Arabidopsis thaliana: one gene and its partners. The protein of the gene in region 1 binds, or shares a complex with, the protein of each later gene. Each region holds a gene or a part of one and is shown on either strand. Other genes may lie near its edges.

Region 1 (7,403 bases):
TGTCTATATTCTTATTGAAGCCGATCCTGAAACATTTCCTAGCCTTCCTTTTAAGAGATGTTTGAATTGCTTACTATCTTTCTTTCTCATCACTTTTAACCTCCATATATTTAGGTAGGAAGTTTTAACGTGTATTAGAAAATTGAAGCAAAACTTGCTGAATGAATTTAAGTCTTTGGTTTTATGTCCTTTTTGGTAGCTACAATATCTCGCCTGTTTTCAATTTAAGTAACAGTTACTTTTTTTTTCTTGCAGGTGAGACACTTTACACCTTTACGATTTTGACAACCGCTTCCTCTTCAGCCCTCCAATGGCTCCATGGTTAGTAATATATACACTGGCTACATCGTGTGACATTTTTTCTTATTCAGTAATGATTCTCAGTAGCACAATGAAACACATAGCATATGAAGTTGGGAATTGTATATTTGTCTATGGACGCTTGAAGCTTGTGTTCCTCGTTGTTTAAAATGAGGTTTAATCAAACCCGCACATTAATAAAGATACAAACTTATCATAGTAGTATGAGTTGTTTCTGTTTTCGTATTACATCTGATTTGATAAGCTCTTTTAGAAAAGATACATATGTAATTGCATGAGAATCTTTAACTTCTTTAAGTACTGGAATAGAACAAGCAGTGGCTGTTTAAGGTAGTTTAATATTGAGAGTAGCGTTTCTTATACAATGCTTACATTATTAGCGGCTGTTGATGATTGTTTTGTTGATTTGCAGCAGCCCTGAATTTTTGTGTTAACACGTGAGTTTGTTTATTTTTCATGTAAGACAGAATGCCTGTAATTCTTGGTGATAAGGATTCAATCGACACATGGTTAGATGATCCCTCGACAACGAAACTGCAGCCATTACTTTCACCATATGAAAAATCGGATTTGGTATGCAATTGCTTACTTCCTCGCATATAAGAGTGGTCTTTCCTTTTTCATTTACTTGAGATTGAAGTTTGAACTTTCAGGTATGGTATCCAGTAACCTCTGCAATTGGTAAACCAACGTTTGATGGACCAGAGTGTATTCAACAGGTACGGTTAACATCTTTCCCTTTCTTAGTAGTGTACAACTCAAATCTCAAGTTTGATCTCAAGTCGCATTAAACATATTGTCAGGATCACTATGTATTTGTACAGTCTGTATGCTTATTGTCATTTCAAATAAGGATTATGCCACCTGCAGATACCGCTAAAGACTTCACAAAATAGCTTGATCTCGAAGTTTTTCTCAACAAAGCAGCCCAAAACAGATGAAGGAGACAAAGAAACCAAATCAACAGATGCAAATATCATAGTTGATTTGAAAAAGGAACCTACGGCTGAAAAGGACACGTTTTCTGACAGCATTAAGAAAATTGAAGAACTAGACGGGGAGAAAGATATGTCGAATGTAGCCAAAAATCTGGAGTTTCAAGAGATTGTGAAAGCAGAACCATTTGTTGAAGATAACTCAGCAGTTGCGTCACTTCCTGAACCTGTAAAGAATGATGTTCAGGAGGGTACAAAGGAAGAAGGCAAATCCCTAAAGACTGGTCTTACTAAAGAAACAGGTGAGAGCAGTGCCAGTATACCGGCTGAGTCCTACATCCTTGATCTCCAAAGAATCTCAAAAGAAGAACCCGAGACTCAAAGCCATCATTTCTTTACTGCAGATGAGAGATTGAATCAGCTGCATGAGGCTGTCGAAGATATTCCAGGAAATGAAAACCAGAAGACAGTTTTAACTAGCCCGACGACGAAGGAAGGTGGCTTAGTGTTTAGCGAAAAGAGTGGGACAAAGCGAGACTATGAGGTATTCTCAGCTCAAGAAAAGCCACAGAAACACTATGAGAGGTTGCAAAATGTTAAAAGCAGTGGGAAACAAGGAAAGATGCATGGAATGGGGAAATCTAACATCAAGAAATCTAAGGAGACGCAGTCTACATTACATTTCTTTTTCGATGAGAAATAGTTTTGAGTCTACATAACATCTATGAGGACCATGTTGGCCTACTTTTGTTGTAGATAATGTTAGATAAGACCATCGTTTTGGGAATGTTGCTTGTATTGTATGTGTAGTGTTTGATCTTTGATCTAAGGTAATATTATTATGAATGAATTGGGTTTTTAATGTCCTTGGTGGATGGTAAAAATTTGTGAACCAGGTTTCGATAATCAAACCCGGTCGCTAAACGATTTTATCGGTTTAAATTAGATCCGGTTTCTAAATTAAACATCGAATTCTAATTTCCCCTGACCAGAACCACCAACGCTTTGAAATCGAAACAGACACAGATATCATCAGAACGAAGAACTTCAGCCAAAATCTGATTTTTCTCTGTTTCACGACAAGAAATCGAATTAACGAAATCTAATGAAACCTTCAAAATCGCATCACAAGGAGAAAACCGCTCGTCGGAGGTCAGAAATCTTCATTTTCCTCTCTCCCCTTTTCTTCAAAAGCTAGGGTTTTTACACAAAAACATCAAAACTCGTCACTTTTCCTTCACAGAGAGGAGAAACTAGAGGAATCCGATAATCCAAAATACAGAGATCGTGCTAAAGAAAGAAGAGAGAATCAAAATCCTGATTATGATCCATCAGAGCTTAGTTCTTTCCATGCCGTTGCTCCTCCCGGAGCTGTCGATATCCGGTAGCACTTGTCTTTCCTCGATTACTTCATTATCTTTCTAAATTCTAATTGGGTTTCTCTAAATTTCTGTTGCTGTGTACTTTTTTTTGTTGTAGTGCTGCTGATGCACTTAAGATATCTATTGAGAACAGCAAATATCTTGGAGGTTTGTGTTAGGTTTACAAATTTATTCAAAATGTTTTTTTTTTGAGGTGCTTATGTTGTTTTTATGATATGGTTTAGGTGATGTTGAACATACCCATTTAGTTAAGGGTTTGGATTATGCTTTGTTGAATAAAGTACGAAGCGAAATCGTTAAGAAACCTGATGGTGAAGATGGTGATGGTGGGAAGACTAGGTAGATTTGGTTATACTTGGTTTATTGACTCATTTGGCTTCTTTGATTCAAGTGCTAATTTTACTATATTAACAGTGCGCCTAAGGAAGATCAGCGAGTTACTTTCCGTACCATAGCTGCAAAGGTATGCAATTTTGTTCTGAACTTTGCAGATGAGGAGCAAGTTTTGGGATGTAGTTAACGCGCTTGATGTTTTTTGTTTCTCTTGTCTTTGATCTGTTTCAGTCAGTTTACCAGTGGATTGTTAAGCCTCAGACTATCATCAAGTCTAATGAGATGTTTCTTCCCGGTAGAATGACATTTGTCTATGATATGGTATTGCTTGTTAACTCTTTTTCAGGAAGATTCAATCTTATTACATGTTCTTATGTCGTTGTTTGTCTTAGGAAGTAGTCATACATGTGTATTCTGCTTCAACGATTCTTCTTCGAGTATTAGTTAATATTTAGTTAAATCTTCGCTTCTAGTTTAAATACATGTCTCAGGAAAATTTTAAGAAGGTAGCTTAAGCTGTTTTGCATTACCTTGTTAGCGATTTATTCACGATTTAATCTATTTGTTAGAAACCTTATACGCAGAATTGGTTGTAAAGGTTTTTTAGTTCGATTAACGTGTCTGCTCTTCTTGAAGAAGCATATTCTTTTTCTCTTGCAGATAGAGACACCATACGACAAGAAAAGTCAGTTGAATATACTATTGATATTTGGTAGTGTTACGTATGAAGTTTCCTTTGAGATACTTAGTCTCAGCTAAGCTGCTAGGCTAAGCTTATAGTATGGGTTTAGTCTGCCCTTTGAAAGCCTCCCTGTTGATGTATATTAATTTTATTCCCTTTTGTTTTTAATTCTATTTGTTGCTTTTCAGGAAGGTGGCTATACCCATGACATACCGACCACGTTATATAGGAGTAAAGCTGACTGCCCGGTGCCCGAGGTATGTATACTTAGAGTCCTTGTTGTAATAGTCTTCTTGATCCTGGAAAAATCTTTAGACTGTAAGCAGTGATGTGACATGATCGTTTTGATTCTAATGAAAATAAGCCCACTCTGCCTGTCTCTGCAACCTATTTTCTTTTACAGTGTTGATGTATTCAATACAGCTAATATCGATTATATAAGTCATTAGTTTTGGTAGAAGCATAGATTTTCTTTAAGTAATTATAAAAATCTTTTTAAACTAAATTCAACTTTCTTTCTACTAATCTGGAACCAAAATTAACGTTGCTTAATATGTTTGTTTACTGAACATAATAAAAATTTATAATTGAAATCACTGCTGCAATTTTTGCGAGAATTGTTTCATTTAACAGGCACTGTTTCTCTGTCCTATCTCCCCAACAGGAATTTGTCACAGTCAATGTTGATGGTTCTGTGCTAGATCGAATTGCTAAAATCATGTCATATCTTCGCCTTGGGTCGTCGGGGAAAGTTCTCAAGAAGAAAAAGAAAGAAAAAGATGGGAAAGGTATTTTGCATCTACTGGTGCATTTTTTTGTAAAGTTTAAGTATTAGCAGACCTGATTCACTTACACTGGTTAAATAAGTTCTCTGCTTTTCCCGAAATTTGTTAATTATCTGGTCTTACAGTTTGGAGCCAAGAATGTAAAGAGTGTACCTAGTCTTTGACCACAGTACTAGTAGTATCTACTGATGTCTGGTTGTGTTCTCGCTTATCAATTGTGAAGAAATTTAGTTGTATCATAAATATGTTGCTGCCGTCCCTTGATGGTTCTGTAAACTCTGTTGTTAGTAATTTTTATTATGCTAATGTGGTGCCAGTACATGTTGTAGTTCTTGTTTCACATCAGCATACAATTGGATACAAGTTGGCTGGTTTCTGATTCTTTAGCAAGATAATTTGCTAATTTCTATTCTATCATACGTTCATGCATTTTTTATATTATTTTGCCTTATTAATCACATCCACTGCAACTTTTCAAATGCAGGAAAGATGTCAACTATTGCTAATGATTATGATGAAGACGACAATAAATCTAAGATTGAGAATGGATCTTCTGTGAACATAAGTGACAGGGAAGTTTTACCTCCTCCTCCGCCATTACCACCTGGGATAAACCATCTGGATTTGAGTACGAAACAAGAAGAACCCCCTGTTGCCAGGACAGACGATGATGACATATTTGTTGGTGAAGGCGTCGATTACACGGTTCCTGGTAAAGATGTGACACAGAGTCCTATTTCTGAGGACATGGAAGAATCTCCCAGGGATAAGGAGAAAGTATCTTATTTCGATGAGCCTGCTTATGGTCCAGTGCAGGAGAAGGTACCTTATTTCGCTGAGCCTGCTTATGGTCCAGTGCAGCCATCTGCTGGTCAGGAATGGCAAGATATGGTCAGTTCACCCTAGCTAATCCTTGGTTGTATTTATTCTCAAATCTTGATCCTCGTCTGCAAATTTTGCGTCTTGGTATGTAGTTATTAGATGTCATTTATTCCCATATTTAGGTTTTTTCTGGTGGTTGTGTGTTTTTCCAGAGTGCATATGGTGCAATGCAAACTCAAGGACTGGCTCCTGGGTACCCCGGAGAGTGGCAGGAATACCAATATGCAGAGCAAACTGGGTATCAGGAGCAGTACCTTCAACCTGGAATGGAGGGTTACGAGGTCCAACCAGAAACCGATGTTTTACTAGATCCTCAACTCATGTCGCAGGAAGAGAAAGATAGGGGTTTGGGATCGGTTTTCAAGCGTGATGACCAAAGGCTTCAACAGTTGAGGGAGAGTGACGCAAGGGAGAAAGATCCAACTTTTGTATCCGAGAGTTATTCAGAGTGTTATCCAGGTTACCAAGAGTACAACCATGAGATTGTCGGTAGTGATGAAGAACCTGATTTGTCTAAAATGGACATGGGTGGAAAGGTATGCCCTGACTTAATTACATGTTCCTTGTTATTTATTGTGGAAGAGCAAAATTACAGTATCTGGTTGTTGAATGTACATGGAACAGGCAAAGGGTGGTTTACATCGATGGGACTTTGAGACAGAAGAGGAATGGGAAAAATATAATGAGCAGAAGGAAGCGATGCCAAAAGCGGCGTTCCAATTCGGGGTAAAGATGCAAGATGGTCGAAAGACAAGGAAGCAGAACCGTGACCGTGACCAGAAGCTCAATAATGAACTTCACCAGATCAATAAGATACTTACGAGAAAGAAGATGGAGAAGGAGGGTGGGGATGTTGCTTCTTTGGATGCCGCCGAGGCACAAACTCCTAAGAGATCCAAGCATTGATTTGTCTCTTGTCTACTCCAGTCATTCTCTCGTAATCTATTTTGTATCTTCAAGTCTGTTTAGGTTTTTGGTACCTTGAGTTCAAATTCTTAATTTAGAAAAGATTTTACGTCCAAATTTTGAAATGATAGCATTCTTATTTCCTAATTACCCATTAAACACGAAGCAGTTTTGGGAGTTGGGACAGCCTTAGGTTTTAGGTTTAGCATCACCAAAAATGAGACGCTTCAGTAACCAACCCAACAAGACAAGCAAAAAACTAGAAAAATCATAAAACCCTAATCAGAAAAATGGCCACAGATTCCATGAATGCAGCCACCGTCAATGACTCCGACCGTTTCATCTTCTCCACACCTCTCTCCGCTCGTGGTTCAACCAAACGTGACGCCATCTCCGTCGAGGATCTTGGCCAATACACTCTTCTCAAACTCCATTCAAATCCGGTTTCACAAACTACATAGATCTTGGCCAATACAACGACGAAGATGACGATGTAAGAATCCTCTGTTTCACACCAATCTCCATAGAAAAGGGACAGTCCTCTGTTTGACCAATACAACGACGAAGACGCTCTTTCGACTGCGAGATATGTGTTGAACGAAAACCAAGGATTGAATCTTTTCGAATCAATGGCTGTTCTCACACTTATTGCAACGATTGTGTCTCAAAATATATAGCTGCTAAGTTACAAGACAACATTCTCTCAATCAAATGCCCTGTTTCTGGTTGCTCGGGGCAGCTCGAGCCCGATAAATGCGGTCAAATCCTGCCAAGAGAAGTCTTTGATCGGTGGGGAGACGCTCTTTGCGAGGCGGTGATTATGAGTTCAAAGAGATTCTATTGTCCTTATAAGGATTGCTCTGCTTTGCTCTTCTTGGACGAGAGTGAAGAAGAGAAGATGAATGTATCGGAGTGTCCTCATTGCCATAGAATGGTGAGTGTAGAGTGTGGGACTAAGTGGCATCCGGAGATAACATGCGAGGAGTTTCAAAAGCTAGCCGAGAACGAAAGAGAAAGAGGGGATATATTGTTGAAGAATATGGCAGAGAGTAAGAAGTGGAGAAGATGTCCTTCTTGCAAATTCTACATTGAAAAATCTGAGGGTTGCTTATACATGAAGTGCAGGTATCTTCTTCGCCGTCTTTTTCGTTTCCTTTATGTACAAAACTCTTATCTT
Region 2 (4,818 bases), on another chromosome or scaffold:
CCAGTCTGTTCCTCGCTTGCAAAGCTGAAGATGAGCCATGTCAACTGTCCAGTGTCGTTGTAGCGTCTTATGAAATAATTTATGAGTGGGATCCTTCTGCCTCAATTAGAATCCATCAAACTGTAAGTGTATACATACATCTATGTATTGGTAAATTCGCACTGTGCATTTTGCTAATTTATTACATGTTGCTCTGCCTGTAGGAGTGTTATCATGAATTTAAAGAAATTATTTTGTCCGGGGAAAGTCTTCTGCTGAGCACAAGTGCTTTCCATTTAGACATTGAACTTCCCTACAAACCTCTGGCTGCGGCTTTGAATAGACTGAACGCTTGGCCTGACCTTGCAACAGCTGCATGGAATTTTGTGCATGACTGGTAAAGACCCTTGTTAATAATATCTGCCCGATTTTTCCCCTACATTGAGTTTGAATCTTATTATGCATTGTGTGTAGGATTCGAACCACACTATGCTTGCAGTACAAACCCCATGTTATTGCAACAGCCACTGTGCACCTAGCTGCTACGTTTCAGAATGCGAAAGTAGGCAGCAGGAGAGATTGGTGGTTGGAGTTTGGAGTTACAACTAAGCTATTAAAAGGTTTGCTGTTCAAACTCTATTTTTTCCTCTGGTATTATTGCAGTCATTTGATCAAGTGAGATGTAGTGTTTCTATAATGTTAGCGCTAGGAATATGTGGTACTGTAGCTCCAGCTCATGTTAGGTTCTTACCCTGTGCACATATTGAGTTTGGAATTAGGTAGTGGCCTGAACGAAGAGATGTGCTGCTATTGATTTTAGCGGTTGATTAAAAATAATTGGATGTTTTCATTATGGTGACAGAGGTAATCCAGGAGATGTGCACACTGATAGAAGTGGACAGAAGGAGGAATATGCCACCTCCACCTCCACCTCCAAGAAGAGAGTTAAGTTGGGCAATACCTGCAGCCGTAAAGCCGGTCCATATGGCTAGAGCTTATCCGTTTCACAGCTACCCTTTGCAGTCCTATAGACAGGCTGGCATCTGGTGAGCCATTGTTGAGCAGCATGAAGATGTAATCTCTCTTAGAGTCTTGAGTTGGTTTAGCAATAAAAGATTTCCGTAGAGACTCATGAGAGAGGCAGTGTAGCATTATATAGAGATCCGAGTGAGGTGCTTCTGTCTAAGTTAAGCGTCTCATGTATGACCAAAGTGGATTCTCTCGAGATTCTTGGTCTCTGTTCTCGATAGAGAGAGATTATGTATAGAAGTGTCCCATTCACATGTTATAATACTAGCTGACTTTATATCGTTTGTATATCTGGAATCTATGTTTTTGGTTTCTTTAAAAAGTTTAAAGTTGTTTTGATTTTGACTAATTCTCTCATTGTTAAGTAATTTGGTTTTTGATGAAGTGCTATTAGGTCTGTGTTGAGTTGAGACTTGAGACGAACACAATCATCATATGATCAAGCTTATACCGATCGGATAAGTAATTAACCGGTTCAATTAACTACACCTAGCTTATACCGATCGTATAAACCGGTCAAGAACCAAAACCGCTTGGTTTCCATTCTAGACCAAACCGGATTCTAGTTTCCATTATTATTATCTTTTTTATCGGATTAAAAATATAAATCCTTATGTCAGGAGATCCCATTCTCTGTCTCTCTGTCTTTCTCCCCCAACTCGCGAACAAAGCAAACCCTAGATCATCCATCGGCGAGTGAGACGGCAGCTCCTCGTCGGTAATTCCTTCCACCGGCGGCGACCACTCACCCTCAGATCTCTCAATCCCACTCATCTCTGTAACATTCTGTACGCTTTCTCTCTCTCTTTCTTCGCTTTTGTGATCTATTACGGCTCGGTCTCTGTGCCTCCCAGCTCTATTTTGGAGCACTGCTTCGTCTCTGTGTTTATTTGGCTCCTTTGTGTGTTTCTCTATCTCTGCTTTTCTTTTGTATTGCTCTGTTTCCGATTTTATATCCATATGTCTCTGGTTATTTGGTTATATCTATGTGTGATTCTTTGTTCTTTTTTCCATTGAATTCAATAGCTGACTAAGATCTCTGCCTTTTATCTTCAATAGTTGCTCAATCTTTTCGCTTTCGTAACATAATTTAGTTTCTTGTTGATGTTTTTGATATCTACCAATCTCTTTTCAATTTATGTCTATATGTTGCTAAATATCTTGTTCAATGACTGATTTCTTAAACTCAGGGTGGAAATTCTGCCATGGCGGAGCATTTGGCTTCAATCTTTGGTACTGAGAAAGACAGAGTGAATTGCCCTTTCTACTTCAAGATTGGCGCTTGCCGTCATGGTGACCGGTGCTCGCGTCTTCACAACCGTCCTACCATCTCCCCAACACTCCTTCTTTCAAACATGTACCAAAGGCCTGACATGATTACCCCTGGTGTTGACGCTCAGGGCCAACCACTCGACCCGCGTAAGATTCAGGAGCACTTTGAGGATTTCTTTGAGGATCTTTTTGAGGAGCTTGGAAAGTTTGGCGAGATAGAGAGCCTCAACATTTGTGACAACCTTGCTGACCACATGATTGGCAACGTATATGTTCAGTTTAAGGAAGAGGATCAGGCTGCAGCTGCTTTGCAGGCTCTGCAAGGTAGGTTCTATTCAGGACGTCCCATCATTGCTGATTTCTCTCCTGTGACGGATTTCCGCGAAGCCACGTGTAGGCAGTATGAAGAAAACAACTGCAACCGTGGTGGGTACTGTAATTTCATGCATGTGAAGCTTGTTTCGAGGGAACTAAGGAGAAAACTCTTTGGGAGATATCGGCGATCATACCGCAGAGGAAGTAGAAGCAGGAGCAGAAGCAGGAGTATTAGCCCCAGGAACAAGAGAGATAATGACCGACGTGATCCTTCTCACAGGGAATTCAGTCATCGGGACAGAGATCGCGAGTTTTACCGTCATGGAAGTGGAAAAAGGAGCAGTGAGAGGTCGGAGAGGCAAGAGAGGGACGGTTCAAGGGGTAGGAGACAAGCAAGCCCTAAACGAGGAGGGAGCCCGGGTGGCGGGAGGGAAGGAAGTGAGGAGAGGAGGGCAAGGATTGAGCAATGGAACAGAGAACGGGAGGAGAAGGAAGAGGGAGGAGCATAAAAACAGTTGTTTACTCAAATCACAATTGCTGCTATGTGGTTTCTGCGTCTGCTTCTCTGCGTTTATTCTGAAATCGGTAAAATCTGGTGATGGATTTTTCATTTGGCTGTTCTAATTTGGAACTTGAAATGAGTGGAATCAACTTCTTTAGATTATAAAATGTTTGGGGTTACTTTCTTGTAGTTTTGATTAGGAAAAACCGCTCTGTCCCCTTGTTATTGATTTTCACCAGTGTTCTTTAGAACTTTGTACTATCTTCTGTTGGTTAAAACTTAAAAGAGTTCTAGTTTAATTCGAAGTTGTCTATTGTTCTTCAATGCTTGGGAATACTAACGAGTTTCTGTGTCATGGTTCAGTTGTGGCACTAATTCGGGTCAAAGCACCTCAGAATTTTAGACAAAGATAAGGGGCAAACACTTTGGGCCTTTGATTGCATTGATTTGTGTTCCAAACACGTCAGAAGTTAAGTCTTTTTCTAAACCAGTTATCGAATGGGTTAGTCTTGGTTGCCATTTTTCAAACATACTGGCTTCCAATTGGTCATGCCAAATATGTAGCTTACTAGACCTATATACTTTCCAAAATTACTTCATAAGCTGTTTGTCTAATTCACGCAATGAATACATATATGCATAAAATACTCCATATGAGTAAAAAGATGTATAATATAGCGGAATATATAACAGAAGTCGACAATGCAATATACATCAACCCTAAACCATAAAATCATGAAGGTCATTTTGGCTTGTAGGCGTCGTCGAGTCCCTCTTCAGTGATCGTTGTGGTTCTTCTGGACAGAATATTCAAATGGTCATATAACTCATAACTCCCAAACGGCCAAACCATTGTTCTAATTGTGATGACGAGTCAAACCACTAATCACAATAAATTAATTACTTTTTTTTTTGTCCCACACATGTTCACAAATATATGTTTAGTTAAAAAACTCAGAATTAATCAATTACAATGCATTAAAATATCGCTACCACCGTCACACCACCCCAATACATCCGTCCGATCTAGCATCAACACCCACAGCCCATCCCATTGACACGGCGGTGTCATTTCTAAAGCATCAAACAAAACATGTCATTGTTTATTCTTACTTTACATTGACTGAATAGTCTGAATTAACATAATATATATATATATATATATTTACGGAATTTTATCATATGAATTCTCAGTTATGGAGATTAGTAGTTCAATAGATTGGCCACGTGGAGAAGTCTTTGCCGTCTTCGCTTGAGTGGATATATTATAGTAATAAAACCCATACGATATCTTGTTAACTTTTTAAAAGTTTTCTTACATCAAAAATATACAAGATATCAAAGTTCAAAAATTAGAAATCTGAAAGATCGTAGCTACATAGTGAAAGATGGATTGTTGAACAGCGTTATAAAGTCACATTAATTCCATGTAATAATAATACCTCAAAATCTCAAATACAACACATGCACGTGTCTAGCTTGCTGCGTTTCTATATACATTATGCAACTGAAAATCGAATTATAATGATACTAAAATGAAATATATGATCTTAAATTTGTTATTGTTAGGAAAATATAAAGATGAGGAATGGGGAAAGTCTGTTGGACAGTGATGCCCTAAATTTGAGAAAGCATATATTCCCCTGCTCTAAAGCCTTTGTCCTCTTCTTAGACAACTTTAAAATAAATAATAATGCTTTCCCATACTTTTTAGGACCCTC
Region 3 (5,384 bases), 7.9 Mb from region 1:
AACTTTCCACGAAACCACCTAATAATCAGCTGCTTCCCTCCCTACTCACGAAATCGCATTTTATCTTGGAATGAATATCAGCCGTTCATTATTTCAACTTTCAGAATCCAACGGCTGCGATTCAAGAGAGAGTTTTAGGCCACACGAACGTGACAAACACATCGGTACAGATACGCCACTCACTTATATATCCCTTTGGAACTAATCAAAAGAGTTCACCAAAATCTCTTCTCTCTCTTCCATTGTCTTCCTCTAATGGAACCAACCGAGAAATCTATGTTACTAGAAACTACTAGTACCACGAAGATGGAGACCAAATACGAAGATATGTTACCAGTTATGGCGGAGAAGATGGATGTTGAAGAGTTTGTATCAGAGTTATGCAAAGGTTTCAGTTTGCTTGCGGATCCAGAGAGACATCTCATCACAGCTGAGTCTCTAAGACGAAACTCAGGGATACTTGGAATTGAAGGTATGAGCAAGGAAGATGCTCAAGGAATGGTTAGAGAAGGAGACCTCGATGGAGATGGTGCTCTTAACCAAACCGAATTCTGCGTTCTCATGGTTCGGTTAAGCCCTGAGATGATGGAAGACGCCGAAACTTGGTTGGAGAAAGCACTCACCCAAGAACTATGTAATCACAATCTCTCTTCTATGCCTTGAATGATCGTCCTCCTTTCTTGTGTATTCTCTTTTTACTTCTACAAAACCTATAAATGTTTCTGAATATAAAATGAAGTAATGATTTCTTGATCCTGAAAAACTGAATGGATTGCCTTGAAACTATTCCAATTCCAAAAGAGATCATTGCCATTATAAGCTACTAATACTTTCTACACCACATAGAGTGCAAAGCACATACGGTTCAAGTCATAAGCGGTAAAGACTCAGTACTAAGAACTTGTTTTTGTACCATGCCCATACATTCTAAAAATCCATCGCCCAACAACATCTTCAACCTCTTGCTCTTTGAATCGGGGACCGGCTGTTAAAAAATAGAAAAGAAAAATCAGACAATTAGAGTAGCACATAACACTATATATAAGGATATTGACCATTCAGAAGCCAAGTACTGTTACCTTCTGTCATAGCCCGGACTCCTAGCTCTTGCTCTACCATAGTCTGAACTGCGACGCCCATAATCTGGACTCTTACGTCTTTCATAAGGAGCAGGACCCTTGTACCTGTCATATTCAGGACTGCGACGACGGGTATAATCAGGACTAGGACGCCTCCGATACACTGGGCTAGGAGATCTCCTTCTTCGACTGCCAGCATATCTATCTTCTCTTTCACCAGCCTCCCTCAAGGCATACTCAACAGAAACAACCTTATCCAGTAATTTGCTGCCAAGAGAGGATAATCAATGTAAGGGATTACCACTCGATCAATCACTACATGTCAGATAAATAGGTACTAACTAAGCAGGTTTGTTGTTACCTGTTGTGTGTAGAATCAAGAGCCTTGGTTGCATCTTCCTGGGTTGCGAATTGAACAAAAGCAAAATTGCGCCTCATGCGAACATTGAGAACTTTACCATATGGCTCAAAGTGTCTCTCCATATCACGCTCTCTTGTGCGAATAGGGTCAAAGTTGATGACAAAGAGTGTCTTTGTAGGCCTCTGATTCGAGACTGCCTTTCCATCACGAGGCTTCCCACGTTCACCCTGAAAGTCCTGAAAGCCAAAAGAAACTTAGAGCTCTCTGAAAATATCAGAGCATAAGATTAATTTTTAAAAAGAAGAAAAAGATACCTTGGCCCATTCAACTGATAACTTGCGTCGCCCATATCCAAAAGTGGTATTGTCAGTCCTACGGATTGCATCTTCAGCATCGCGCTCATCCTCAAAATACACAAAAGCATAACCTGCAAGAAAACAAAAACTCAAGATAAGAAGAGCGAGCATATACATTGACAAACTGTTTCAGCCCACAGAAATTGCAATGCAGGAGTTAGTCGATTAGAAGACACCTTTTCACCTAGAGAAAGACAAAAACTAAATAAATATACAACACCTGCATCAATGTGAAGGCTGGTGTACATAAGAAGTAGAGGCGTTCGATGTAGAGTAGTAAATAAAGATGTAGATGTGCAGTTGTAGAATGTAGCCTATGAAAAGGTAATAAAATCCAAATTTCTGTTCAATTCTGAATGGTTGCTAAGCCTTGCTTCACCATTCTGACATGAAAGGCGTGAAGAAACAAGGCAATAGATTGTAGGCTCAGCGAAGATTGTGGGCACAACATCATAACGGTAGGCATGAGAAAATGTAGGAATCTATTTGCAGGAAGAAATTGGCAATCCCATGAAAAGAGGAAACACAGTCATGCTCCTTTAGAGAAAGCTCCTGCGACCAAACAAACACTTACATACGAGAATCCCTCTCTTAAACACAACCCCAGTCATGGTTCCTTTTGAATTCTCTCCACACTCTTAACACTAATTCATGCTTCAGTAGAAAAAGTATCAATCAATAATGCCTGAGAAGCTCTCAAATTCCAGAATCAAACAGAGACTACAACACAGCAGATTGATCGCCATAAGGAGTACAAGTGCAAGAAAACGTTTTACCAGACTTCATATCAACTCGCTTCACTCTCCCGAACTTGCTGAACAATCTTTCAAGATCCGAATGGCGAGTATCATAGTCGAAATTCCCAACGTACACATGTCTCATTCTTGCAAAAGCAATCGAATTCCTAACACCAATTGTGATCAACATAAACAAAGACAACAAAGATCAGAACATTTATACTCGAAGAGCTCGCAAAGTATCTTTGATGATTCGATAAATCTTCATCTTCTGAGGGAGATATTCAATTTACCTTGAAGAATCTGAAGAGACGACGACGAGAAAGATAAACCCTAGAAGACGACGACGACGCTCGGCGAAGAAGACGGAGCTTCGTATTAATGACACAAAATCTTATAATGATGAACCGAAAAGCGTGTTATTGACGCTGTTACCATGAAGGGCATATTTGTCATTCCGTTAAAATTATTAATCCGCTTAACGCTATGGGCTTTTGTTTTACAACCGGCCCAAAATGTTCAATTACAAAGTGCTCAAAACTCAGAATCTCATACTTTGGGGACTCAAAAGCAAAATCTTATAAACTTCTGTACATCAACTAAAACCCAAAAACAATAAAAACAGAGTAACAACTTTCTCTAGTCTACGCTTTTTGTCCAGACTCTCTCTCAACCAATAAAACCAACCCACGTGGCTGCTGACTTTTAAAAACTTTTTAATCACTAGCCGTCCCTCATCTCTCGAGCCACATCGAACGATCCAGATTTTCTACTACTTTTAATTCTCAACAACCCATACAACTTCCTAAACTCCTTCACCGCCGGCGAACTTCCTCCGCCACCGCCGCAAAGCGAACCACTCATATCATCAGAAACATCCTCCGACGTCGACTTTCTCGAACCATTTTCTAAAAGCAAACGTCGTCCAGTTCCTCTCCGATCACCATCAGTCTGCAAAGCATTGATGACATGCTTCAATGCACGAGTCGGCGAGTTACGATTCGCGATCATCAACTCTCCGATCTCGGCGGGACTCAAAGACGCACCGTTTTGAAATATTCCTTCAACTTGAGAGAAAAGCTTGTGCTCTTTAACACCTAAGTAGTTATTAGCGAGCGTTTTAAACGCCGTGAAATCACATAAGGGAAAATGAATGTGTACGTCGACCCGACCCGGTCGAAGCATAGCCGGGTCAATTTGTTCTTTCCCAGTCATCGTAAACACCATGATCCGTTCATCGGCGGTGCAAGAGCTGAGAATACTATCAGTGAAATTCAAAATCCCAGATAAATTCACAGCCGTTGATTTCGTCGAGAGGTGTCGATCTAGATCTTCGATCACGATCACTGATTTGCCTCTGGTTTGTAACAGAAGCATCTTAAGATCTGAATCATCAACTACTTTGGAGAGATCTATATCGTAAACATCGTAATCTAAGAAATTCGCCATTGCTGCGACGAAGCTTGATTTTCCGGTACCGGAAGGTCCGTATAAGAGATAACTCCGTTTCCAAACACGGCCCAGACGATTATAATACTGTTTACCTTTGAGGAAAGATTCGAGATCAGATTTGACTTTGTTCTTCAGATCCGTTTCCATGGCGATGTTGTCGAAGGTACAAGGATGATCAAACGGAATCGATCTCCACCGTCCGTTCTTCTTCTTCTTCTTATTCAGATGATCATCGATTCCGACGTTGATGAAAAGCTTAAGCTCTGTGTTCCTCTGTTCAAGCTCATCAGATACTGTATGTATATGCTGGAGATAAGAACCGAGAATTCTCCGTTTGTCAGCTTTACGAATCTTCAAAACGAAATTCCTCGCTCCATCTTCGTCTTCTCCGTTAATCCAACAAACTCTAGCGCCGAGAAACTCGTCGCCAACGACTTGGTTCCGATCTAACCGGAGGATGATTTCGTTGGACTTTTTCCCGGTGAAGAGGTTCGTGAAATCAGAATTCTCGATCGAGCTTAAGGAATTTAGATACATGTAGACTTTTTGGTAGAGATGATTCTCTTGAACGTTGTCGTTGAATTCTGGGACTTTGTAGAATTGGTAAACATGAAACCAGTCGATGATCTTCCTACGCCATAACTTGACCATGTAAATCAATCCAGTTTTGAATAACAGGATCCTAACTAAGAACAGAGCAAACGTTGACACAAGTAACAAGAGAAACGAATCCCAAAGAATCCCCATGGAGAGAAATAAAATAAGAAAAACGTAAAACCTCTCTCTGGTTCCAAAACTCTCCGCTATATTATATAGTAGTAACGAAGAAGAAGAGTTTACTAGGTTTATTAGAGAATAAAGAAAGCAAACGCATGTTCGGAGAATTGTGAGAAAAAACAAAGAGAGAGTGATTATTTTGACGGAGATTGAGAGAAAGTTTGGAGGAATATTAAGAACAATCGGAGAAAGCCTAAAAGGACGACGAGATATTATTATTTTTTTCTTAAATTATTCTTTAAGAAAAAAGGCGTGACGGGGACGAGGTCACTCAGCAATCAAAGGGGTGATTTTTATAAATCTAGGTAACGGCGATTTAGTTGTTTGACAAGTTCTTTGATTGCTGATTTGGAAGATTTTCTTTTAAAGCTAATAATCCACATGGCAAAAAATATTATTATTAGAAGAAGATAAAATATTCATTAGATTTATAGAGATTTTTTTGATACTTTGGCTGAAAAAAATTCTAAAAAATTATATATTTACTAATTTTAGATAAATAGTAATTAATAAAGCATTTACATTCGGAACTTAATTACCAAGGAAAAATATTAGAGTTAGGATAAATCTTCTATTACTATTCTAATTTCTATAAACCAAAAATTATACGTTTATCTACAAA
Region 4 (5,410 bases), on another chromosome or scaffold:
TTTTCCGTAAACATGACTCTAAGAAAAACTCAACTCTGGTGCCAAATCATTAAGTTTACACAATATAAAATGTTAATGGTGTAAATAAATTACAATATACAACAGTTTTTAACATTGCATGTAGCATGCTTAAATTCTACAAACTTTTCCCGTGAAACAAATAAAAAAACATCCCATCAATTTTGTTTACGGTTCCAGTTTTTGTTTTTATGTATTTTAAAAATATTTCAATGTATAGTTTAAGTAGCTATATTGAATCTATGATTTGGTAAGACATGAGAAATTTATATCAAAGTGGCGGTGTCCATGTATACAAAAATCTAATGTTGACGACAAGTCGTTTCATGTTAACAAAAAAAATACCGACTAGTCACATCTCTACAAAGTGCAGGTAACGTTTTAAGAAATAATTATCATAATCCGTTGGCAAAAAAAAAAAAAAAAAGACTAAAACAATTTAATGTATTGGTCAAAAAACAAAACTTCTACACACGATCTAAGACTATATCCATATTGATAAGATGAATTGAATCGATATATATTCTTACTTTAACAAAAAAGAAAGATCATTAGAGTTATCTTGTCTTACTAAAAGTCTTAGATAAAGACATAAAAATGGAACAAACATCATTGGGAATGCAACATGCATGTACATATTACATATAGTAAATATAATATAGTTAAAAGCGAAGTCATTATTATATGACTAAACTAAGATAATTAAAACATGTAAGCACACATTATCGGGAATGTATTGATATTAAAAGGGCACCACGTAGGTCAGGGTGGCCTCTCAAACCCCCCAAGGGACAAAGCAGCATTAGGATTGTCACTAAAGTACTAACCATGTGTTATTTTACGATATTATCCCCATTTGGTGTTAATGGTTCCAAGTGTCAATGTAAATAACGTTGACATATATAAGCCGTGTTTTGTTTTCACGTTGTTTAGGAAGCCAACGAGGATTGGGTAATTGGATCCGAATCAGATTGACACTTTCTTCTTCTTTACTTTTCTTGCTCTTCCACTTGACAATACCAATTTAGGGCTTGGCTGGATACAAATGTTTTTATCCTTCTTCAACCCGTTATCCGTTTTACTAGACTTAAAAAAAAAAGAATAGTATGTGTAAATATGATACATGATATCATGCATTTGTTAACTACGATAAAAAAAATCGAATATCTATATTGTCCATTTTGCAGATATCCCTTTTAAATATCTAACTAAATATCTGTAAATGTGAGGTTTAAAATTGAAATCCGTATATTTTTATTGATATGCACAACGATAGTTACAATAAGTAACATGACACTAATAATCACTCCCCAAAATTTTTATACAATTAGATATAATTTTAAATACTAATATTCTATAAATATTTCACAATTTTAGAAATTTTGATACTAACCAATTAATGTTAGCTTTGGATAACGAATGAAGTTATGGCCATCTTATTTCTTCTGAGCCATCTATTTAGCCATAGCCATCCAAAAATTAAAGAGTATCTTATTCCTCCCATGTCCAGCTTAAGGGACAAGCCAGGGAATAGCGACACGTGTAAATTGAATGTCGATTTTGTAAAAGGAGGTAAGTGGGGTCTACACAGTGGCTGCAAATAAACGAATCATAACTAAACACGTGTCAAAGACACAGTCTTAGAGGAGTCGATGTAAGTGGGACCCAGCATGACTTATCTTGGTTCAGAATGTTTTCCCCAATGGATAAGTGTCTTTTTGTTTTTGGTGGGATGATGAAACCTTTTCTATTTACGTCGACGCAATTTTAAACAATGAGACTCTTTTTTTTTTGTGTGTGTGCAATCGTTTAGAGACTTGTTCACATGAATTAGGTGCCCAATCATGTGTAAATTGGTAAGGTATATGTAAAACTAACAATTGTTACACTTGCCAACTCCAAACTTAGATTTAATCAGCCTACTATATTTTGAAAATTTAAGAAGATACAAGTACTGATGCAAAAGTTGAAAACCAAAACCAACTCATATGGGCCATTAAGCAACTGAAACTTGCTCATATTTTTAAAATTTTAACCAAAAGGTTATGGGTTTTAGGCCCATTAGTTTTTTTCAGACTGAGAATCACGTCAAGTTACAGTAATTAGACATCAAACTCTAGAAACATGTTTGCATAACTTTTGTTGTCAAAGATGTTTTGCATAGTTTCAAAATCCGCTTTCACCTCAATTCTCTTTTTACGTTAACTAATCGACTATGGGAGACTAGTCTTACATTTTGGTCGCTAAAACTTTGTTTATGAATATATGGATTACCGAAAAATAAGGGACCATGAAATAACTAATAAATGACCAAATAATATATGATGTTAATTTTTTTTTACTTTTCAGTTTTCATATAATAATGAAATAACTTGGTTACTCTCTTTCCTCGCCGTAGTCTGAGTCTGAACCCTAAAACATCCCGCTTCGCTGCTCAGGACCAAGAATCTCAGGTACCTTGTTAACTACTCGCTGTAACTATTATCGATATCCATATTTCTTCACAAAATTCGATTCTCTTTCGTTCAGATTCAACTGATCTTTGCAACATGACGAGGGTTTATGTCGGGAATTTGGACCCACGCGTCACCGAAAGAGAACTCGAAGACGAATTCAAGGCCTTCGGTGTTCTTCGCAAGTAAGTCCTATCTCTGTACTCAATTTTGTTTCAAGCCATACGAATTATGACTCTGAATCTTAAAAATCGCAGTGTCTGGGTAGCTCGTAGACCTCCTGGCTACGCATTCCTCGAGTTCGATGACGAAAGAGATGCTTTGGATGCAATCAGCGCATTGGATCGTTAGTGTTCTTCTCATTAGACCTCTTAGTTACCATGTAATGTTTGTATTATTGTTTGGTCATTGAAAAGTTTTACTCTTGTGGCGTATACTTCAGGAAAGAATGGGTGGCGTGTGGAGCTTTCTCATAAAGATAAAGGAGGTCGTGGAGGTGGTGGTGGTCGTCGTGGAGGTATTGAGGATTCCAAGTGCTATGAGTGTGGTGAGCTTGGACATTTTGCTCGCGAGTGTCGCCGTGGTCGAGGCTCTGTGAGGCGTAGAAGCCCTAGTCCCCGTCGTCGTAGGAGTCCAGATTATGGGTATGCTCGCAGGTAACGATCCAACGGAAACATTCTTATTGAGCTGCTTAGATGAGATAGTATGTCATTAGTATGTCCATTGTGTTAACATATCCATTGAAATTGCACTTTGTAATCATGTATAGGGGCTGAGTTGTTAATGTTGATAGTACCTTTCTTGATGTTATAATCGCTTTGTGACATACATTTTTGTTCCTGTGGAATTGATTTTGTTCAGGAGTATAAGCCCGCGTGGAAGAAGATCTCCTCCAAGGCGTCGCAGTGTTACTCCACCTCGCCGTGGGAGGAGCTACAGCAGATCCCCTCCTTATCGTGGTTCACGCCGTGATTCTCCTCGCCGCAGAGACTCGCCCTATGGTCGACGTTCGCCATATGCCAATGGGTAAAAGTTCTTTTCTCTTCTTGGATTTAGGTTTACTTTCTCAATCTGCATGACTCAACTTCAGCATTGTCTATGTAGATGTGAATAACATTTGAAGTATTTTGATATAAGGTATATATTCGTTTGCGTTTCTGCAGGGTGTGAAACTGGACCCTGAAGAGAAAGAAGCTATTACTAAGCTATGATGCTATATCTACTCTGTGGCGCCTTTTAGGATAGATCTTTATATCTGCTATTATGGTATTAGCTCTTCTAGGTTTGGTTGTTGAGCATGGACATGTCATGGTATGTTCGAGTTTTATTAGACAATTGGATTTGGTGAGTTCTCCTTCATGCTGTTTTCCAACAGCCGTCTTGACTTATTCTCTATAACACGCACTGGCCTGCTGTCTTCACACAGCGTCCTTGAACCCCTACACTTGAGGTCGTTCTTTCGTATCCATAAATGTTTTGTCTCTTGTTGAATGCACTTTCCTTATTATATAGACATATCTAAAAAGCTCAACTGTTTCCACTCTTTTTCCCTTGTGAGGTATGATTTATCGGGGATCTCTTGGCAGCACAGCTGCATCTTACTCTCCCCACAACTTAGTTTTATCATGAATCTGCATCCTCAACTCGACCAACATCAGCTAGAATTTGCTTGTTACATTGTGTGACTTTTAGATTGCCCTGCTCTTTACTCACCACTCCTACCCCAAGTCTGCAACCAAGCTTCTATTGAGAAAGACGAATCTGTTTCTTCACCCCGTCCTCTTCCTAGCTCTCGGCTGCTATATCACCACTTGGTTTCTCTACTCACTTTTGTTTTTCGGTCAACTTTGTTACACATCTGTTGGTGGATCACACACTTACATTAAATTAAACCCATTTGTGGATGCTTCTTTTTTATATTGCTTGTGAAAAACGTGTTAGCTTAGTCTTTTGTGTTCATGATTTGGTTTCCCACTTATGCTTTTCTTTTCCCAATTAATCTCGACTTTTAATCTGTTCTTCTTCGGCCGCCACATGTTTTCATTTTAATACTTTTCTAAATTTGGTTTTGAGGCAATTTGGTTCAGATTTGTTGGTATACCAATTCTTACGTCAACGTCAATGAAGAAACGACTCCATATTTACGAATAAAAAACTGTAGTAGATCTGTACTCTCCCTTTTTCTTTGTAGAGAAGAAGAGAACTGTGAAAGAAGATGAAGATTGAGGAGGATCTAGGTTTCATCAACATACTCAAACGAGCAACAAAGCTTCTATGTGGTAACATCAATCTTGTTCTCTTCCTCTTCCTTTGCTCTCTCCCCCTCTTTTGTTTCTTGATCTTCTTCGAGCTTTCACTCCAAACCACTGTCTCACTCGCTTCTCAATACCTCGTTCGACAACTCACTAATTGGGATTACTACTACGTTCCTCAAGATGCTTCCGTCTTGGAGAATCTGATTCCATTGCTTATCCAGACATTTCTACTCTACTTGTTCCCGTACGGCCTCATAGACCTCTTCACCACCACCACAATAGTCTCTGCATCTTGGACTGTTCACACGTCGGAGGAGGAACCGTTAAGGTTCGGTCAATTGGTTCGGAGAACGGTAGAGATATGTCAAAACAGACTTGAAGGTTGTCTGATCACCTCTCTGTACGTCCTTCTCTTGTCAACCCCTGTTTTCTTTGGCTTCTTATTTGTAGCAACGAACTATTTCCACATCATTTCTCTGACCGGATCAGGCGAAAACTCATACTACTATTCTATAAACATTGAAGAAGATGCCGAAGGCTATTACAGAAGCAGCAGTGTCAACAGTCCGGTAAAGATGTTGTTTGATGCGGTTTTAGCTATGTTTCACGGTGCTATCTTTCTCGGTTTACTGGCGATGTTCAGCAAGTGGAGTGCGGGATGGAACATGGGTTTGGTTGTTTCGG

The links.
Region 2: SMU2 (region 1) and ATU2AF35A share a complex: the UniProt entries of both Arabidopsis thaliana proteins name them as parts of the spliceosome.
Region 3: SMU2 (region 1) and RS31a share a complex: the UniProt entries of both Arabidopsis thaliana proteins name them as parts of the spliceosome.
Region 4: SMU2 (region 1) and RSZ21 share a complex: the UniProt entries of both Arabidopsis thaliana proteins name them as parts of the spliceosome.

What each region holds. Positions count from the first base shown.
Region 1 is NC_003071.7:11,253,872-11,261,274, reverse strand, and holds SMU2 (RED family protein), read left to right. Parts: upstream 1-2,204; 5' UTR 2,205-2,361; coding exon 2,362-2,408; intron 2,409-2,499; coding exon 2,500-2,640; intron 2,641-2,735; coding exon 2,736-2,785; intron 2,786-2,862; coding exon 2,863-2,977; intron 2,978-3,052; coding exon 3,053-3,101; intron 3,102-3,202; coding exon 3,203-3,292; intron 3,293-3,841; coding exon 3,842-3,910; intron 3,911-4,317; coding exon 4,318-4,441; intron 4,442-4,922; coding exon 4,923-5,329; intron 5,330-5,472; coding exon 5,473-5,856; intron 5,857-5,944; coding exon 5,945-6,226; 3' UTR 6,227-6,343; downstream 6,344-7,403. Other genes in the region: AT2G26470 (embryonic stem cell-specific 5-hydroxymethylcytosine-binding protein), read left to right, coding at 256-321, 785-894, 975-1,040, 1,192-1,959. UniProt on the Arabidopsis thaliana protein: Auxiliary spliceosomal protein involved in splicing of specific pre-mRNAs that affect multiple aspects of development.
Region 2 is NC_003070.9:9,612,939-9,617,756, forward strand, and holds ATU2AF35A (U2 snRNP auxiliary factor small subunit), read left to right. Parts: upstream 1-1,968; intron 1,969-2,198; 5' UTR 2,199-2,213; coding exon 2,214-3,104; 3' UTR 3,105-3,419; downstream 3,420-4,818. Other genes in the region: CYCT1;3 (cyclin T 1;3), read left to right, coding at 1-122, 204-376, 454-599, 842-1,029; AT1G27640 (uncharacterized protein), read right to left, coding at 1,525-1,968. UniProt on the Arabidopsis thaliana protein: Necessary for the splicing of pre-mRNA. Probably active at the 3' splice sites.
Region 3 is NC_003071.7:19,135,815-19,141,198, forward strand, and holds RS31a (RNA-binding (RRM/RBD/RNP motifs) family protein), read right to left. Parts: upstream 2,949-5,384; 5' UTR 2,827-2,948; intron 2,701-2,826; 5' UTR 2,679-2,700; coding exon 2,573-2,678; exon of another isoform or gene 2,045-2,572; coding exon of another isoform or gene 2,017-2,044; exon of another isoform or gene 1,914-2,016; coding exon of another isoform or gene 1,868-1,913; coding exon 1,755-1,867; intron 1,677-1,754; coding exon 1,441-1,676; intron 1,347-1,440; coding exon 1,080-1,346; intron 986-1,079; coding exon 955-985; 3' UTR 752-954; downstream 1-751. Other genes in the region: AT2G46600 (Calcium-binding EF-hand family protein), read left to right, coding at 256-663; AT2G46620 (P-loop containing nucleoside triphosphate hydrolases superfamily protein), read right to left, coding at 3,257-4,732. UniProt on the Arabidopsis thaliana protein: Probably involved in intron recognition and spliceosome assembly.
Region 4 is NC_003070.9:8,426,322-8,431,731, reverse strand, and holds RSZ21 (RS-containing zinc finger protein 21), read left to right. Parts: upstream 1-2,246; 5' UTR 2,247-2,471; intron 2,472-2,490; exon of another isoform or gene 2,491-2,547; 5' UTR 2,548-2,567; coding exon 2,568-2,656; intron 2,657-2,728; coding exon 2,729-2,817; intron 2,818-2,913; coding exon 2,914-3,127; intron 3,128-3,332; coding exon 3,333-3,497; intron 3,498-3,634; coding exon 3,635-3,641; 3' UTR 3,642-4,475; downstream 4,476-5,410. Other genes in the region: AT1G23850 (uncharacterized protein), read left to right, coding at 4,687-5,410. UniProt on the Arabidopsis thaliana protein: Probably involved in intron recognition and spliceosome assembly.